Linked DNA regions of Drosophila melanogaster. The protein of the gene in region 1 interacts with the protein of each later gene in a pairwise test. Each region holds a gene or a part of one and is shown on either strand. Other genes may lie near its edges.

Evidence for each region.
Region 2: the proteins of Doc2 (region 1) and CG31441 interact in a two-hybrid assay, tested with the Drosophila melanogaster proteins (one large-scale study listed by BioGRID).

What each region holds. Positions count from the first base shown.
Region 1 is NT_037436.4:9,012,027-9,023,596, reverse strand, and holds Doc2 (Dorsocross2), read left to right. Parts: upstream 1-4,350; 5' UTR 4,351-4,705; coding exon 4,706-4,796; intron 4,797-5,511; coding exon 5,512-5,668; intron 5,669-8,621; coding exon 8,622-8,889; intron 8,890-8,967; coding exon 8,968-9,105; intron 9,106-9,975; coding exon 9,976-10,731; 3' UTR 10,732-10,911; downstream 10,912-11,570.
Region 2 is NT_033777.3:11,232,005-11,239,380, forward strand, and holds CG31441 (uncharacterized protein), read left to right. Parts: upstream 1-4,281; 5' UTR 4,282-4,352; coding exon 4,353-4,484; coding exon of another isoform or gene 4,485-4,488; intron 4,489-4,545; coding exon 4,546-5,336; intron 5,337-5,395; coding exon 5,396-5,498; 3' UTR 5,499-5,620; downstream 5,621-7,376. Other genes in the region: Dph3 (diphthamide biosynthesis 3), read left to right, coding at 13-120, 190-264, 337-414; Arfip (arfaptin), read right to left, coding at 1,078-1,122, 1,213-1,320, 1,398-1,566, 1,918-2,440, 2,504-2,726; CG17721 (uncharacterized protein), read left to right, coding at 3,405-3,538, 3,597-3,912; CG31388 (uncharacterized protein), read left to right, coding at 5,865-5,981, 6,049-6,605, 6,953-7,037, 7,107-7,376.

The sequences.
Region 1 (11,570 bases):
TTAGCGCAAGACTCGCCCTTTGCCGCTCTCTATTTGGATGCTCTATCACGGCCATTGTAATTGTGCACTCAGGCCAGATCCGTTCCGATCCGATCCGATCCAATCCAATCCCATTCCATGCCATCCAGTGGTCCAGTCGAACCGGCTAGCGACAACAATTACCCCGCGGCTAGGCGAAGCCATCTCGGCCACTCAATCAAAGGCGAAGGCCGAAAGCCGCCTCGGAATCCATAAGGCAATCGGTAGCCAAAGAAGCCGTCAAATTGTTACGCATAATGGATGTTTTTATCAGCGAAATGGTTTCTTCTGGCCGGCCGGACTACTGGACTTGGGTTACTGGGTTTTCTCCTTTTGTTTTGGCTGACTGTCGGCGATCTGGGGCTCTCGTCTTTGATGTCACCGTTTTGGCCGTTGAACTTTTCTGGCTCTAGAGCTGGCCACATATCGCCACCATTTTACCAATTTTGGTAATGAAATGCAGCACCAATTTTGTATTTTTACGAGAATCTAGAGGTTTCGCTTAGAATCATTCACTCATTTGCAAAAATATATGCATATCACGTATTAAAAATCGTATAAAACTAAATTACTATTTTTGAATATGATTAAAATAAATTAAACAATACCTTATGTAATATAAAAACATTTGACTATTTTTAAATATGAATGCAATAAATTAAGCAACACATTACAAAATTTGCATAGAAACAATATGGCTAAACTATGTTTCCATTGTTCGATTTTATTAGTTTAGAAAAATATTGATGATCATGTATTTTAACGTTCGACTGGTGTGTTGGAAATTCTATAACTTTTTAATTTTTAATTAATTCATTGAGTGGTTTTAAGTATCAAAAATTAAGCACCATTAATGTTTTAGCTCTGATCTTAGCACCTCAGCTTGGCCATTCCATCACAGCTTGCTTACCCGATTTGGCAATTGTTTTTGAACACCAAATTTGAATCCATGATCTTGTTGTTACACATCCCATTAACACGCATCTCCGAGTGCCAACTCAATGGGCTTCGAAGGCAAACAACCATACTTAGATGCTTTGGAAAATATGCAGATTCTTCGATTCGGCACCCAGATACCCAACTATACCCAGCTATAACCATATACCATTCATGGAGGAGACGATCGGAGAGTGGAGGACCGGCGAGCCAGTAGCACTTGAAATTTGAATATAATATTGTAATAACTCAAGGGTCTACACAACAGAAGCGCCTCTCAGAGCGTCGCGTCGCCAGCAACTTTAGCACTTCAGTTGAAGATGGGGTCTGAGAAGCGCAAAGTAGTCAGTAACAACGGGGACGGGGGAATCCGAATACGAATCTGAATCTGAATCTGAATCTGAATATGATTATGAATATATGAATCCGAATCCAGCCTGGCCTGGCGCATCTTGGGCCCTATTTGCTTATGATAATTTGAGAGCAAACAGCGATCGAGTGGATTGGTAGCCGGTGGAGACGGAACATAACGAAAGGCCTACATCTCGGGCGTCGTGAGTGTGCAGAAAAACAAAAACGAAACACACGATTAAACACCTCTCAATTATTGGAGTAGGTCTGGTCCCGCGACCATTGAAAGCTGTCAAGAGGTCCGCAATGGACACAGATGATTATGATGCCTCCTTTGGTCATCGATGTGGTGGTTCGAGTCGCTTCAGTTCAGTTCAGTTTGGTTCGCATCCATATTGATTGAGTCACTTAATTTGCATACCAAAGTAGATTTGCATGCCTCAGCAAAAGACCAGACGTTGGTCGTGTTGCAACAATGGATCTACTCACGGGTAACGCAAATACAAATATCCAACCATCCATCATCGACAATTCACAATCAGAGAATCGGAGATTAAGTGCCAGTCCGTTAATAGTCGTATATAGAGGCGCTAGGGCTTGTTCAAACAAATCCGAGCTAAAAGTTTAAATCAATAAATTGCGATGGCCGCTTGACATGAGTGGAGGGCATATTTTCCATGGAAAATTACATCGCTTTCATAGACGATTTATGCTAATTTTAATTTGAGCAGCCGTGCGAGAAAGAAGCCGAGGGCTCGTGCTCCCACCTGCCCCCTTTATAGCCGATATACACATGTATCGGGTTCATTTCGCAACTGGGTGGAAAGACACCGGACGGATAGCACTTACAATGACGTTGGAGGACGGTCCCTGGTTCAAGGCTATTCAATCTGTTTGTCCTCCCTGATTCACTTGATCGCTGTCTGAAACGTGTATCTCTGAAATGTATACCCAAAACATTGATAAGCGGCAGGAATGCAAGTACACTCAGAGAAATACTATCACTCTAGTAAAATAATCAAAAATTCCTTTGACTATGTGTCATAGATAAGACCATCTATCTGAACTCAATGAAATTTTTGCTTAATTTGCTTCTCCATACTTTGATGACTGAAACCCATGCAAAACGAACTAACTGCAGGTATTTTAATTATTGCAAACACTACTTGCTCAACTAGCAGTTCTTCGAGTGCATCATTTGCTACCTGTTGGCCCATTTATCCGGAACCGAACGGAAGTAAACCGAAATGCATTAGTCAGACAGCAGGCACAGGGGCAGCACCAATTAGCTGGGTGCTGACAAATTGCACAGCTATTGGCATGGTCTGAAAGGGCAGACCCTTTAGAGGCTCTACAGGATCGATGTCTAATGGTTTGACGAACGTAGTCGAGCTGAAAGACGGCAGAACGGAAAACGCAACCGGAAATGAGCGCGACCAAATGTGAAAACGCGAGGCATAAATTATGGTCAGACGGCGCATACATTCATACGTGGCCAGAACGCAATTTGGGCGAAATGGCCTGCTAATAGTAAATTAATTTCAGACGCTTATCGCCGCCAACTGTGGCTATGGCCATATCCATAGGAAAATAATGCGTGGATGTGTCAGGCCAGCAAAGTGCTGTGTAAATTAGCTCGGCTAACTACATATTTACCCATCGAGAGCCTCAGGAATTTCGCAGTAATGCTGTTCAGATAAGCCAAGCGATTGTCTTAAACTTGAAAGGAAGTGGCACTGGAGGCAAACACGAGACTAGTCGTTGGCAAAAAAAAAAAAAAGAAAACAACACATTAAAAACCGAGCACGTTTCGCCATCGTCGGCCCACATGGCGTATGCTTAACTTCAGTCAAAGTTCAGACCACCTCATTGGGCCTTAATTAGTTTCGAATTTGTTAGCAAGCAGCTCCGACACGCGTTTCCGTCGTTTGAAACAAATGTTTTGCCAAGCTCTCTAAAAGGTCAGATCCACAAACAGTGATCACCTGCATCGCCGGCAATATCTGTAGACTAGACTATAGCCTATAGATATTCGTGTACCAGCAAGTGGAGACGCCATATCGGGCCTTTGGATGCCGCCATATCAATGCCTGAATGACGCAGCGTCAAAGTCGAAATAACATATAATTACACAGAGAAAACTGCATTAAAGTGTTATTCGTTTAATTAAAAAGTAAAGATTATTGTATAATGGGCCCCAATATATTAATTAATTAAACTATTTACCAATTCTTCTCTACTGATAAACTCTAAAATGTGTATAAAAAAAAACTATTGCAACGATGACCAAGCAATTTCATCCAACATCAATCCGCCAACAGGTAAACAAGGTACTTTAAAGTAAGTGATTGGAACTTTTACTGATACTTAGATCAATATCTTATACAATACGCTGCCAAACACACCAAGAGTAAATATTTTTCAATAAAAAACCATCAAATTGCTGTTCAAACAGCATCAATAAATTCTTTTCTCTGTAGTGCGCCGGGTAAAATGTAATAAATGATCAGCAAAACGACAAACACACACGGCTTGGAGAGGCCAGACAAGAGGACCACCATGATGGTGATGGTGATGGCAGCGGCTACAAATGGGCAAAGCATAAATACACAAAAAGATGCCAAAAAGCGGAGACGGAGAAAAAACAATTTCAATCATCATGATCATAATTAAAAGGCAGCCAGCCAGCGCACACACACATAGCGAATGGACCCAGAAGCAACATGTTGCTGCTCCTCCGCTGACTGTGCAACTTCGCACTTCAGAATTAAACGCAATTAGAGCGAGCTGGCACAATGTGAAGAGAGAGAGAGAGAGAGAGTGATAGTCAGCGCTTCGTGGGCGGAGCCATGGCATCTGGAAAATCGAGAGGATTTTTCAAAATGGAGGTGCCAAACCAGAGCGGGACGGCTAGCTCCCGCACTCCGTACACTGCCACAGCCAATCGATGGTGAGCAGCAGGTAATCTCGATCAATGGCTCAAGACGGAAACGAGTCAAGCTCGTTCCATTCAGCTCGATCGAGAGATCGCTCTGCCAGCGGAACTTGCTCAGTTGAAATGCGAACTTGGCGAGCTCAAGACACGACCGTCGCCCAAAGATACAAAAAATTCTCTCAATATATTTGTGGTAAAATAATAACCCACGTACGCGACACCGGGCCTAATCAAATTAACACCCACGCACATGAGAGACTTTTGTGTGCCGTGATTTGCATAATTGACGCTAATCGGCGGCGTCTCGTGCTCGGCTAAAAAGTAAACCCGGGCTCCAAAAAAATAGACACCGCCATATGTTGTGACAGTGCTTTTTGTGTGCTGGGGAACAATTGTGCAAGTGACAAACGCCAAACAAAGAAGTTTCGGGCAAAGATTTAGTACTATTTTTGGACCCAACACATCATGATCACCATGAACGAGCTGGTGGATCTGCGCATGCAGCAGCACATAGCACACGAGATCTATCGCCAGCAGATCATGCAGCGCATACCAGGTAAACTGCTTGCCCCCTTCATATCACTCATCCGCCCCGTTACGCGTGCGGCAAAGCTGTTAGCCATCATTAGCATTAATGGTCGTAACTTTTGGCAAACTGCTTTTGTTTCTGTTACTGTCTCAGCCCACCAAAGTTGGCCAAGATCAGCGGGGTGTGTGCGAGTAGCGGTGTTTATGGCCAGCGGATCATAAAGCTGAGTAATGTGGGAAAGTGATCGCCGATCGAGAAACTTGATATCAAATGCATTTTTCTTGTTGCCGACGGTCGTTAAATTTCGGGATCAGCGTACCCCTAAAACAAAATCGTTGTTTGCCAAAGTATCGCTCCTTATTTTGTGGATACCAGATGGAGGGCATTAAGTTTGGTAATCGGGAAAGAATCGGTGTTCCTCGTTCGCCAAATAAGCGTTTTTATATAACCCCATGTTTGTTCGTTTGTTTTTATGACAAATATGTCAGTCATCATATGGATTTATGCCGTAAGATCTCTTTGGATAAGTCAGAAATGTCACACTTTAATTCAGACCCACGCTCTTAAACTAATGGCGACTATTAAGTTATTTGAATGGGTTTCATTTTAGCCAAATACCATGTTAATATGTTTACATAATTTCAATAATTCTTAATTTTCTTTGTTGAAGACTAAGTAGTTTGTTAGATTGCTTGAGCTTTTGTTAACCTATAAGCCCCCTATTGATTATTGTTCTTTTCAGATCCGTTTCCGCCGATGCTGCCAATTCCGATGCCACGGCACGTGATCATGCCACCTCGAGTCACGTTGCCCGGCGTGGAGATGACCCTGCAGAACGACGATCTATGGAAGCAGTTCCATCAAATTGGCACGGAAATGATCATCACCAAGAGTGGCAGGTAGGTTTAGAACAGAGAGAAAAGATCTTTGATGATGAAAATGATGAAAAACCAAGAGTGGGGGAATCTCGAGATATACAGACTTTAGAGATCGGGAACAAACATAGATGTAGCGATGCATTAGCACGAACATGAAAACTAATACCCCAGACGCAGGGCAAAGAATAATAAACCAGCCAACGGGCGCGGGCACTTAAAGCACCCTATAACGATCCCTAGCCCGATCCCTGGCCCGATCCCGATTCCGATCCGATTCAGTAGAGTCCAGCGAGGATGTGCTGCTGTTAAAGGCTCATTAGATGCAGGCGCCTGCAAATTGTTTACAGCGGCGTCGCGACAACGATTTTCACAGGCAAACAAGGCGGAAGGATGCACTTACGTCGGCAGGATGTGAAAATCGAAAATTGAAAATTGAAAATCGGGAAATGGAAAAGCGGTTGCAGGTTCAGCCAAAATTGATGCGCACTGGACATCGGCTATCGCACGAGGCGTAAAGCGAACAAGTTCGCCGGCACTTTGCGTGCTCAGATCGTAGATAGTACGAATCAAAGGCATAGCGCGATCGCCCGGAGCTAATTTATCGTGTATCTATGAGTATCAGATCAGATGCACGACTACTTGCACAAAGGCGACTACCTAAAAGTGTCCGGCACTTGTTCGAATGTGCGTAAAGTGGCGTCATCGTAATTTATTGTAGACCGACCAACTGGACCGATCGGGCGAGCGCCGAGCTCAGTGGGACGTCCTGTCGGTTCGTCGGCGCTCCTTTATGCCTCGCCTGGCATAAATCTTCGCGTCAAGGATACTTTGTCGTCATCTTTGTAGCTCTTAGCGTTTTTATTGTGGCGCCTGTCTGCGCAGCGAACAACCTGCGGCCCCGAAATATCTTCGCGTTCTGCATTCTATAAGATGCTCGTACATATCTGTATCTTTTGGCAGTGACAGTGACCACAGCTTGTCGACAGATACGAGCAATTTCACACTTGCCCTCAGTTCGAGCCGATCAAAAAGGGTTCCCAAACGCATTAACATAAACTTTTGGTCTCGAAATGCATTGAATGAATACACTTCGAGCCACGAACAACCCTTTTGTTTTATATATGCCATGAATTATTCATATAGTCTGCGTATTAAATACTTTTTATGCTCATCAAAAATGTTTTATGGGCATCGGTGGAGAGGTCGCGATGCAATCGATTTGAATTTTTAATGATTAGGCGCCAGAGTGCCACCGTCTGTCCAATCGCATCCCAATCCCCGTTTCATTTCCCATACGGATACGATCCCAAGTCCAAAACCTATGCCTATGCCAAGTGGCGCTCATAAAAACTAATTAGTTGCTTGTCTGGGCTCCGCTTGCCACTTGAACCGTTCCATCTTTTTGGGTGGTAAAAGCGCAGACGGCCATTAAAGTTAGATAGAACAAACCGTATCGCTTAATGTCTGATACTGGCGGCAAATGAAATGACTTTGTCACGATGCTTTTAGACTGTGTGGGCTCCTCCACTCACCAAGAGAGGCGGTAAACAGAAGCGACACGGTAACTTCGATGAGAAGCGCAAATATACCCAGAATTTTCAATTGGATTCAAACTTTTAGTTGCAGAAAGAAAAAAAGAAAATATTTTACCCTTTCTCTAATAAGAAATGTTATTCCTAGTAGACTCATTCAAAACTGGCTTACGATCTGAAGAGTTCAAAATTTATGTCGTTTGCTTCCAGTTTTATAGCTGTCAATTAATAAATAGTCTCACTCTTAATTTCCTAAATATGCTAATTCTGGGAATATCAAGCAGCTATTTATATGGAATTGTAGGGTAAACATTGGAGTGAGCTCTGGATATTTCCAGAGTACCCTTCGGGAGTCCGAGATCCGATGCTCCGTCGCATTCCTGGCTTGTGTCCCTGCACCTGCGAAGCGTCAAGCGCCAAGTCGAATGCCGTCAAGTGGTCAGCATGCTCCTTACTCGCAGTAGAAAATTCCACTGGTAATTATGCGCAGACGCGCCAAAGATATCGATCTTAACAAATCGTTTGTCCAAATCCAGACAGCGGACTCTTGCCAAAAAAATAAAGAAAAAAAAAAACAATAAACAAAAACTGAGAGCAAGCAAATTGAAAATGAAATTCTAAACCGCACAAATGTCGAAATATTTCGGTGCCGTGCTCTAATGGAATTCAACGGAGCTGAAAAGGCAGACCCGAAGCCAGAATCAAATTAAATGTTAGCAAACCGAGGCTCTGTGGATTTCAATTAATTAATCATCGGTTGAGGGAAACACGAAATCATTGCCAAAAACAAGAAACCATTCGAGGATGAGGACGCTGTTGAGGATGAGGACGAAGGGCAAACATTTTTCGGCCAGGCGCCAAGTGCCGTGACCACCTGCTGTTCCTGCGGCAGCGACTTGGAGTTGAAGGCGAGGGTCAGGGCCTCGCATCCTTGTTAGCACAGGGAAAACGGCCCCTACTCCACCGGGCAATCTCTATTTGACCAGTCCTAATTACATGGCGCATGGAAGGGAAATCTCACAATTAAATATTTGTAACGCCCACGCTGGAACCGGGAATGGGCTCCTTTTGTCGTTCTAGCATGACTATATTTGAGTTTGTTCGGTAAACAAAGGCTCTAAGGTTTTCCAGGCGTTTTCCTGGACTTCCCCCGCTCATCTGACACAGAGGAAAATGTTGTAGGAAAGCAGTATACCAACGATTTGGTAATATTTATAAGGGAAATATCTGTAAGATAACTCTCATGTCTAATATGGTATATACAAAAGGTTATGCTAGGTTTTATAACAACTTTGAAATTAGCCATTTATCAAATAGTAAAATATACCATATAATTATGATATTAAAGTCTTATTTGTATTAATAATATAATGAAAAATGATTTTGTCTTATATAATAAGAGACTGATTAAACTAATAAGATGCTTTTCCTTTCCCCTAAAGACGCATGTTCCCCTCGATGCGACTAAGTGTTTCCGGCTTGGAGGACGAGAGCAACTATTGCGTGCTCCTCGAGATGGTACCCATTGGCGACTGCCGCTACAAGTTCTCCGGCTCCCAGTGGGTTCCAGCCGGAGGAGCCGAGCCGCAAAGTCCCCAGCGGATGTACCTGCATCCGGACAGTCCGGCCACCGGTGCCCATTGGCAGGCGCAGCCCATACTGTTCAATAAGGTCAAGTTGACCAATAACACGCTGGATAACAGCGGCCATGTAAGTGCGGCCAGGGCTTTGAAGTCGTCTCCAGTTACTAATCCAAGTCCAAACCCCTTTCGCCATCCCCATTCGCAGATTGTCCTGGCCAGCATGCACAAGTATCAGCCGCGTCTGCACGTCATACGCACCGCTGATCTGGCGCAGATTCCCTGGGCCCCACAACAGGCCTTTGTGTTCGCCGAGACGGAGTTCGTGGCCGTGACAGCCTACCAGGTAAGTGGTGTGCCATCCCCATCCCTACTCCGTTTACCCTCTCAATGGGCGCCATCATTTTGGTAATGAGTCTAGCTCAATGTCTAATTAGTACTCTCAAATAAAATATATATCTTTGCCACACGATGAGAATCCCTTCTAGTTCAAAATCACCTCATGGTATCCTATCTTTGATTAATTCACATGTTATTCACAGACTTATCCAAGGTTGTCTAAAATCGCACTATTAGGTATTTAACAAAAATGTTTCGTCCAAGAGTATTCGAGTCATGTGTCCTCGAAGTTAGCCTTCCTACTTGTGTGTGCATTTTTTTTTTTGCCAATTCATTGAGCAAAGAGACTGGAAACGATCACACTAATTGGTTAATTTTGGGCAAACGAGCGGCGATCGCTCACGCCGTGGGTAGCTTGGTCAACGTCTCGAATTAGCATGGAACGCCTCCGTGGATCGTGTAGTTGGTGGGCAGGGCAGGCAGAAAGTCAGCGGGTCGGATTGTTGTTTTAGGAAGTTGGATAGCCACATCCTTGTAAATTTGAGCGCCTCGCTGTGTTTTTGTCTAGGTCTAGGCCCATTGACAGCCGACGCCAGTCTGCCTCTAATTAGCAAGATCGCCGAGAGATCGGAGATTCGGTTTGAGAAAGATCCGAAAGATCACAATGTTGTCAAGTCATCTGGAGTGGAACTGAGCACCGAGAACTGGAAACGCAGTCTGGTGTCAAGTGGCCATGTTACTTAACGCCAGCTACTGGACGCCAGTGACTTATGTGATGAGTCTTCTTCTCCTTCTCCATCTCCATCTCCCCGTTGCCCAAGATTATGCTGGCGGCAATCGTCATATTTCACGCTCGTCTTGTTGCCTTCTTCCGCAGAACGATCGCATCACCAAGCTGAAGATCGACAACAATCCGTTTGCCAAGGGCTTCCGCGAAACGGGACAATCGCGCTGCAAACGCAAGATGTCTTCATCGCCAACGGGCGAGGATCAAGATCAGTCGCCGTCACTATCCCATTCTCAGTCCCAATCCGAGTCTGACATGTCGCCAACGAAAGGAGGCGGTGAGACAGCCGGAGGAACATCGTCGATCGGCGATTCGGATGGTCCGCAAATCAAGCGCCTGAGATCAAATGGCTCAGCCTGCTCCTTATCATCATCGCTGGACGATCAGTCGGTGCCTGGCGCCAGTTCTTTGGCCCTGGGCTCTCCACCGCCCCATCTACATTCGCATTCGCATCCGCATCCCCTCCAGGCGAGGAGTGCCTCCAGCGTTTTTATGCAGCACTTTCAGCAGAATATGCAGAGCCTGCTGAGGCCATCGCTTGTGGATTTGGCATGTACCTACTTTGGGAGACCCCATGAGTATGGAGGAGCGATTCAGGCCTCACCTATGTATCCACCAGCAGCGATGCTACAGGCGGGTTTGGGCCCACATCCTGGCCTGAACCTTCCACCAGGCGTTTCCGGCGCGGATCTCATTTCCGATGAGTCGGGAGCCGAAGAACTCGAACTGGATGTGGGCAGTGAAACGAGCACGTTGGAGCAGTCTACGCAGGAACAGCCACTGGAACAACCATCTACAAGGAGCAAGGGCTTCAGCATATCGGCCATTTTGGGGGGAGGAAGTTAGAGATATTAAAGTTTTAAAACGGGGTATACCTATAGTTTAATTGTCTATAGATTAAGTTCTCTAAATCATTTATACATATATACTCATAGTACTCATTTTGATATTATACAGATTCTAGCCTGATTAGTACCTAAGTTCAGCTTAACGTTAAGCCATTAAAGTTAGCTTAAAATATAAGAGAATCAATTTGTTTTATTTCAATTAGGATTATATAGATCCTCCTGCTGGGCTGAGCCCTCAAACCCAGAACGCCCATCCATCGCTGTAGGTAAATGAACATATCTGAACATAGGAAAAATACTACCGGCAGTTGGCCCTCTATCATTGGCCGATCTTGGGCTGAAAATCACAACTTCCGCCAGACATTAATCCCAACCAATTTACAAGATAAACGTTCGGGTTTCGACAACATCATCAGGGCATCCTCCGCCGCAACATCCATTAGCCACACAGAGATGCGACTGGCTAGAACATAATTTGTTTGCAATTAAATAGCTCGACAAGGCATGAAATTCGGTTGCAGCCCTCACTTGGTCGGATCGGATGCTACCCTAGAGAATCGGATCCGTAGTCGGAGACGAAGACGAAGGCCCATGATATTTATGAAATGGGCAGAGACTGAGACGAAGCCAAAGAAAATACACAATTCGTTATGTAAGTTGCCGATGAGCTGGAGAGGATCTAGCTCAACTGCCGAAGGGCTGAACGGAGCCAATGATGAAGTTTACGATGACATGCGTCACCACCCACGTCTCGTCTGGATTCGAGGGCCACAGGGGCGGTGCAGACAGCGCTGCCCGCCCAGCCATCGGAAAAACAAACACGGTTGAATCAATTTG
Region 2 (7,376 bases), on another chromosome or scaffold:
TGAAGGTACGTCATGAGCATCTATCACGACGAGGTGGAGATCGAGGACTTCGAGTACGACGAGGAGGAGGAGATGTACTACTATCCCTGTCCATGCGGCGATCGATTTCAGATCTCCAAGGTAACGAGTCGTATACGCAACCTTTTTTTTTCTGGACTCCCCATATCACTTGGTAAATTTCCACTTTAGGAGGAGCTAATCGAGGGCGAGGAGGTGGCCACCTGTCCCAGCTGCTCCCTAGTCATCAAGGTCATATACGATCCGGTAAGTGACTCATTCAGAAATACACCTAGAACTCCCCAGAAAACTCAAGCAATCTGATTTTCCGAATTTCAGGAGATGTTCAAAGCTGAGGAGGATGAAGAAAGTGCGCTGAACGAGAAGCTCGGCGACCTGAAGCTCGAGAAGAACTAACACACAGTTTGGTGTAATTAAATAGTTTTTATTTATATATTTTTATATATATATAGACTTCATTTTAGTGTAAATAATACGATGACTAGTAAAACAATGATTTCAAATTATGCAAGCTCGCAAAAACAGTTTCGATTCGTTATGGATTATTCGTTTTGGGTGAATTACAAAGGATTTATACACACATTCTAGAATATCTAAAACTAAAACACTCATATTGCACCGAGTACACTTTGTTATATATGTTTTACAAGCGCGGAGGACAACAATATGATGATAATCGAACGAAAATTTGGAAACACAAACAAGTTAAAGGAACGTCAGCGTACCAGCTGTGGAAATGTGAGTAGTACAGCGAGTTACATACAATGGAAAGCGGTTGGAAAAATATATAAATAACATACACCTACCACTCTCACTTTCTGCTTACGGCTTAGGAATTCGACTTAAACTTAGCACGAAAATATTGTTATGGTTCGCCATGCAGTGTTTCTGTCCACTGCATCGCATACTGAATCATCTCTGCCACCGATCTTTTCCTTTTTCTTTTAGAGAGCGTGCTCGTTCAGCAAATGAGTGGAGGTGGACGACGTGTCCCGATCTCCTCCAATATACGCGCCTAAGTGCTTCGCGAGTGAAAGGGACGAACTGCGTCTACTCGATCTACTGCTCCAGCCAGGATCCAGTGACGGCATTGGGTGACTTAAGCTGCGGGCCACAAGAGGAGAAGTGAAAAAGTGAATGTGCGAACGAAGTTTAATGGGAGCACTCTGCTCCCATGTTTCCATGCTCACTCACCTTTATGTTGAACTGCTTCAGAGTGCTCTCCAGTGCCATGGCATTGCCCGAGAAGTAGGCAGCGATGGCATTGTGCAGCAGAATCAATTGCTTGTGCATCACTTTAATCTATCGACGGATAAACGGATTGGATCAATGGTTAGTCTCGCTAAATGCATAGGTAAGATCCATTTGGCACCACTTACGCGATTCTCGTCGAGAAATTGCATTTTGACGGCCACGTCCGAGCGCAGCTTCTCATATTGCTCCTTGTGCTGCGCATAGCTGCGCTGGGTCTCCTCAAGAGCGACGGCCGAGGGCGTCAGCTCCGGCTTGGTGTTCTCCAAATCCATGCGGTAGGCATCGAATTCGATTCTAAAAGGCAGGAGGACATTACTTCTACTACATATAATTCTCATGCCTTTTTATGAAACATACGATGGCTTTAGGAAATAAAAACTTATTGCCATTGTAGAGATTATCATGGAATGCGGTTATGACTAATTGATCCAACGTATTTAAATTTTTTCAAGGAAATAATACGATAAGCAATGTTTCAAGCTTGTATACAAGGCTAGTTTAAAATGCATTTCTGATAAGAGCTGTGTGGCACAACACTTTTTATAAAAAGCCACACACATGCTGAGTTTAAATTAAAATCGAAGAGATCGATGATGATTTTTCCTTCGTTGTTGCACGACAATGAAAGGATATAGCTTTGGTTACCTGGCCGTTTCGTACTGTCGTATCGTCAGCAGCGTATCGTCGATCGTCTTGTTGCACAGTGTGTTCACCGACGAAATAAAGAAGTTGAGCGCATTAAGCAGCAGCTCGCCGTTCTTGGTGAGATTGCGCTGCGTCTCCGAATTGCACGTGAACTCTTTCTGCAGCTCGGGGTTCTTCTGGGCCAGATCGGCGAAGGAGTCGGCCAGGGCGTGCTGTGTGACGACCACGTGCTGGAAGTGCGAACTAAAGGCCCGCGTTAGCCTCAAGATGGACAGATACTTGCGCTGCGTCTCGCGCAACTGCTCTATCTGGGCCTCCAGTTCCGAGTCCACGGTCCGCTGCGACTTGCCCAACTTCTCCAGCATTATCTGTCGCGTACACTTGTACGTCGATATACTCCAGTTCTTGAGACTGTCGATCTTGGAGGCGCTAGTGCGTATAATGCTGCCGCTCCCGCTGTCCGTGGGGCTCAGGATGCCGTTACCGGATGGTGGACTACTGGGCGACATGGGTGTGGTGGGTGCTGCACGAAAAGATCGATGCTGAGTCAGTTGGTCGCTAAATCGAGGACTCGTAAATAGTTCACCTGAATGGTTTCTTAGTGGCAGGCTGCTGGGGGCGCCAAAGGGGCCGCCGACACCAACTCCAACGTTGCCGCCACCACCTCCTCCGCCGGCGATGCTGTGGCTGCTGGCGCTTCCAAGGATCCCGCTGCCGCCTTCGGTGCCCGTGTGCACCGCTCCGCAGCTGTCGTTCAGCGAGGGCGCATCCTTCAGCATTTCGTGAATGCTGCGCTCGCGGTCCGTCATAGCTATGGCCGTCGTTAAGTTAACCGCCCGTCTCACCGAGTAATTGCCAGCGGAAAATCCTCCTGTCTGCCCGTTTTGTGTGGGGGTGTGCCCGATTAGGTGTCTGTGTGTGTGTTTCTCGGGCAACGGCGCTGGAGGTTTCACTTCGATTTCCACGCCGAAATCGATGGCGCACGCTGGGCGAGTCGAGACTTTAGTAACCCCTGCCTGGACTCGTCAAAATTCTCAAATCCCTAAAATTCCGCATAAAGTTCATCAAACTGTGTTCACGAACTGAAAATCGGTGTGACTGTGCGCGAGTAGGTGGTTAAATGCCACACTTGGACTGCTTGGATACCGGCTGTGCGACACGGTATTTTAAAGGCGGAACGGTGGAGTTTGGAACACGGGGAAGTCCTGTCCTGCAGGTCAAGTCGGTGGGACGTGGTTTGGCGGGACAGTGACTGCTGCGAGGACTCTCCTCTGCGGCACCAGCATTAATTTTTAATTCATTTTCATATATATTCTTGATCATGATCAATAGGCCAGTTGATGTGGCCAAGCAATTCTATTTGGATTTTCAGTGCCGACCAGTTGCGGTCCCACTAAAGTGGAAATTTGATTTAATTTTTGGGGATTTCATGGAAAATCTCTACTTATTTCTATTTCCACGTTACTTAGGCCAATAGCCAGCGGAAAATGGTCTACGTGAATCTAATAATAGGCTTGGGCCTGGTGTCCGTTGCCGCTTTCGCCTATTTCAATTGGCATAACGACCGCAGTTCGCCTTACTCCAGGTGGGTGCTATTAAATGAGCGTCGAATCGTGGGCAGGTTGGTGCCTTGCGATTCAAAGCTAAAATGTTGGCTTAAATCCCTTGTTTCATTGCAGGTCGCCGAATGGCAGGTGCACCTTTTGCCAGTATGAACTGAGTGATGACGACCGGCGCCGCATGAGGTGTGGACATGCCATGCACAATCTCTGCTACTTGGTGTTTCGCTATTCCCATAGAAAGTGCCTCGAGTGCGATAAGGTGGTTAATGTCAATATAGCCGGTGACTTGTGCACGATTTGTTTAGATCCCCTAAGTGTTTACACCATGGTGTATCTGCGCTGCAGCCACGCCTTGCATGAGAAGTGCCTCCACCAGTACCAGGCTAATGGTGGCCGCCACTGTCCGGTCTGCAGAATGGGAATTAAGGAGTAGGTATCACCTAGTGATCATGCAGCCAGGCAAAGCCATATATCAGCATAAGCGTGCACTTAATGCAAGGCTCAACGAATTTTATATATAACATTAAGTCGAGAGCAAAGAAGTCTGATTAAGATTTTAGTTCTGAAACGAATAAAAGTTAGATTTCTTAAAAGATGCCGATTTCAACCAAATTGTTGTTTAAAATGAAAGAAAAGTATTGGATGCGTCTATGCTTTTTCAAAAAAAAAAAAAATAATACAATTTTATATTTTTGTTTTGAATTGTTCAAATATCGTTTAGCCAGTGTGTACACACCACGCACATGCACTTAGTAAACAGACAACAGCTGATGTGCATCTTCATTATCTCGCTTGCCATTCACTTGAATGTAATGCATCACAATAATGTTGAGTTTTAAAAAACCTTTTTAAATATCGTTTGGTTTGCTCAAAATGTCTGAGTTGCGATCGATTTGCCGAACTTGTGGCAAAAATGTGACCAATTTGCAGGGTCGGGCTACCAAACTGTTCAACAAAAGCAACTATCACTTTATTAGTATACTGGAAAATATCACCGATATGTATGTATGTAAGTGAATAAAACTAAAGTATGCTGTCTATTTAATTGATTTAAATGATTGTTTAGCTCGAATTTGACACCACTCTGCCACATCTAATTTGCCAATGTTGCAAAGTGCAGCTGGACAGGATCTTAACATTTCGCAATAAGTGCTTGGAGGTCCACAAGTCTTTTATGGCCGCTAACAGGAAACTTTTGCGAAAAAAGGCGATAGTTGATGAGGAACTCGATAAACCGGATGTTGAGAAGCTACAGCAGGATTTGTGGGACCACACGGATCAGGAAATGTGTGTAGCAATGGCAGATACAGCTGGGCTTCTGCGGGAAGATCACAATGATAATGAGAAGGCGAAGGACGCAGAAGATGCGACTCAGAATGAGAAGAATCAGGAGGAACAAGTACAAGTACAAACAGAGGAGGTGGAGCACTGTCAAGAGCAGCTCCATAACATGTCCATCATCTCGAAGGGAGTAAGTGCCCGTGTCCCCAAGCGTACGAAGCGCAACTCCAAGTCCTGGTTCTGTGACCAGTGCGGCGGCGTCTTCAAGTCCTCTACCTACCTCAAACTGCACCTGCAGCGACACAGCGGTCACAAACCGTTCGCGTGCGACATCTGCCAGGCCAAGTACTACACGGATAACGAGATGCGGCGCCACAGAATCCTTCACACGGACGCCAGACCGTACGCTTGTCGGTTCTGTAGCAAGACCTACCGAGGATGCAGCAGTAAAGTGGTCCACGAGCGGACCCACACCAACGAGCGTCCCTTTCAGTGCCAGCATTGCGACAAGGCCTTCACCTCCACGTCGACGCGTCAAAAACATGAGATGCTGCACACTAATCAGCGGAAGTACCAGTAAGTAGGAGCACTAGCTGTCCTCCGTAAAATATGTGCAAACTGACTGTATTTTCCAGCTGCGAGATCTGTGACCAGTGGTTCCTGCGCTCATCCCATTTGACCCTACATCAAAGCACTAAATTACACCAGCGAAGAGCTGAAAGTGCTAGGATTGTCTAGAATTCATGTGGACTGCTGAAAGTACAAGTTTATTATAAGATTCCTAAATTGAACAAATTGATTCTATTTTTGATTTGATGGTTCTAAAAGAAGAAATAATCAAAATGTACACCTGTGACATCAAAGGTTTTCGACTTTTCGCTCTGCAGATACAATGGTTTATTTCTTGAAAAAAACTTGTAACAACAAATTGAGATTTTGAAAATCGGCGGAATGGCCGCGTTGCTGGGCGAATGTCAATTCGAAATCGACTATGCGTGGGGCTGAGAAATGCGAATGCCGCTTTTCTTGTTCTTCCGTCCAAACAAACCGAAAAAGATACACTTCCAATCGATCGGGGTGCTGCGTTATCTCATTACACAAGCCATGAGGTACATTTGCAGGACCTGTTCTCGTATGGCTGATCCTGCGGTAGCCAAGAATCTCTTCGATCCATCGAGTTCTTCCGTTTTGCGTCAAATAGAGACTCTAACTAACTTGCAGGTGAGTGCGTTAGCGTTTTGCGAAAATAAAAACCGAATAAATGCCGCGATCTGTAATCACTTTGCAGCTAAAAGAGGACGGCAAGTTGCCCAGGTTCATGTGCCAGGACTGCCAGCACGACCTGCAGATTGCCATCGATTTCCGCCGCGTTTGCATCGAGGCCCAGGAGCTCCTTGAACTTCAGCTAAGGCAGGTGGAAAAGGAGGAGGAGGCGTTCGAGAGCCTGGCGGAGCAATGGCTGGATGATTGTCCGGATGAGTTGTCCAACTTGTCGCCAGTGCTACAGCTGAATGATCGCATGGATTTTATCTTCGATCCCGAGCCACAGGATAAGAATACGGATGAGTTGGCTTCCATAAAGACCACGACAACAACAGAGTATATGAATGCATACCAGTCAGTGGCCAGTCCGCAATCTTCTCCAGAACTTTCAACAGATAGCCAGTTGTCGAATGAGCACTTTGACATGGGCCTCTCTCCCGAATCAGAACCCGAAAGTGAAGCTATCGATAATCGGGACACTTCCTCCAGCCACACGTGCAGCAAGTGTGGCCTCGAATTCGAAAACGTGGACGAACTGAAGCTGCACAAATACCATCTGCACGACATCCCGCCAGATACCAAGTAAATAATCATATTTTAGAGGCATGCTTGCATGATTTTCCCATATTATTCGTTCGAAACTTGTAGAAATCCTAAAAGATCTGAAGACGTTCCGTCAGGGCACAAAATATGTTTAGTTTACATTGCTAAATTGGCTATTAGCTAGCTCTCACATTCATTCCGTATTAATTGTCTTTTGTTTTAATTTTTATTTAATTTTAGAACGATTTTCCATTTTATACGTGCTGCTCTGATTGGAATTAAGGAATCCTTTAAACCCTATCACTGAATGACTAGAACAACTTATTCACAGTATGAGAGAACCTACCAATCAATTGCCACAATTAACACTTTAATTATCCTTGTAGATTCGTCTGTGACCACTGTGACGAGGGCTTCCGATCAGCAGCCGCACTTACGCGGCACTGCAACATGATTAATCTTCCATTGACGGTAATGATTCCATCTAAAATGTTCAATACCTTTCATAAAGGATTGTATTTTGAAACATTTTTTTTGCAGCACTCCTGCACCAAGTGCAAGAGCCAATTCCACAATCACATTCTGCTGGAGACTCACAAACAGCGGTGTCTCAGGCCGCCGGCGTCCCAGCATGTGTGCCACATATGTGGCAAGCATCTGACCACGGCCTTTAATCTGAAGAATCACCTGGTTCGCCACGCGGGCACACGACGCCACAAATGCGACCAGTGCAGCGCATCCTTTTATACAGCCGCCGAACTCTGTTCCCATCAGAAAACCCACACAACCGAGCGTCCCTACATCTGTCGC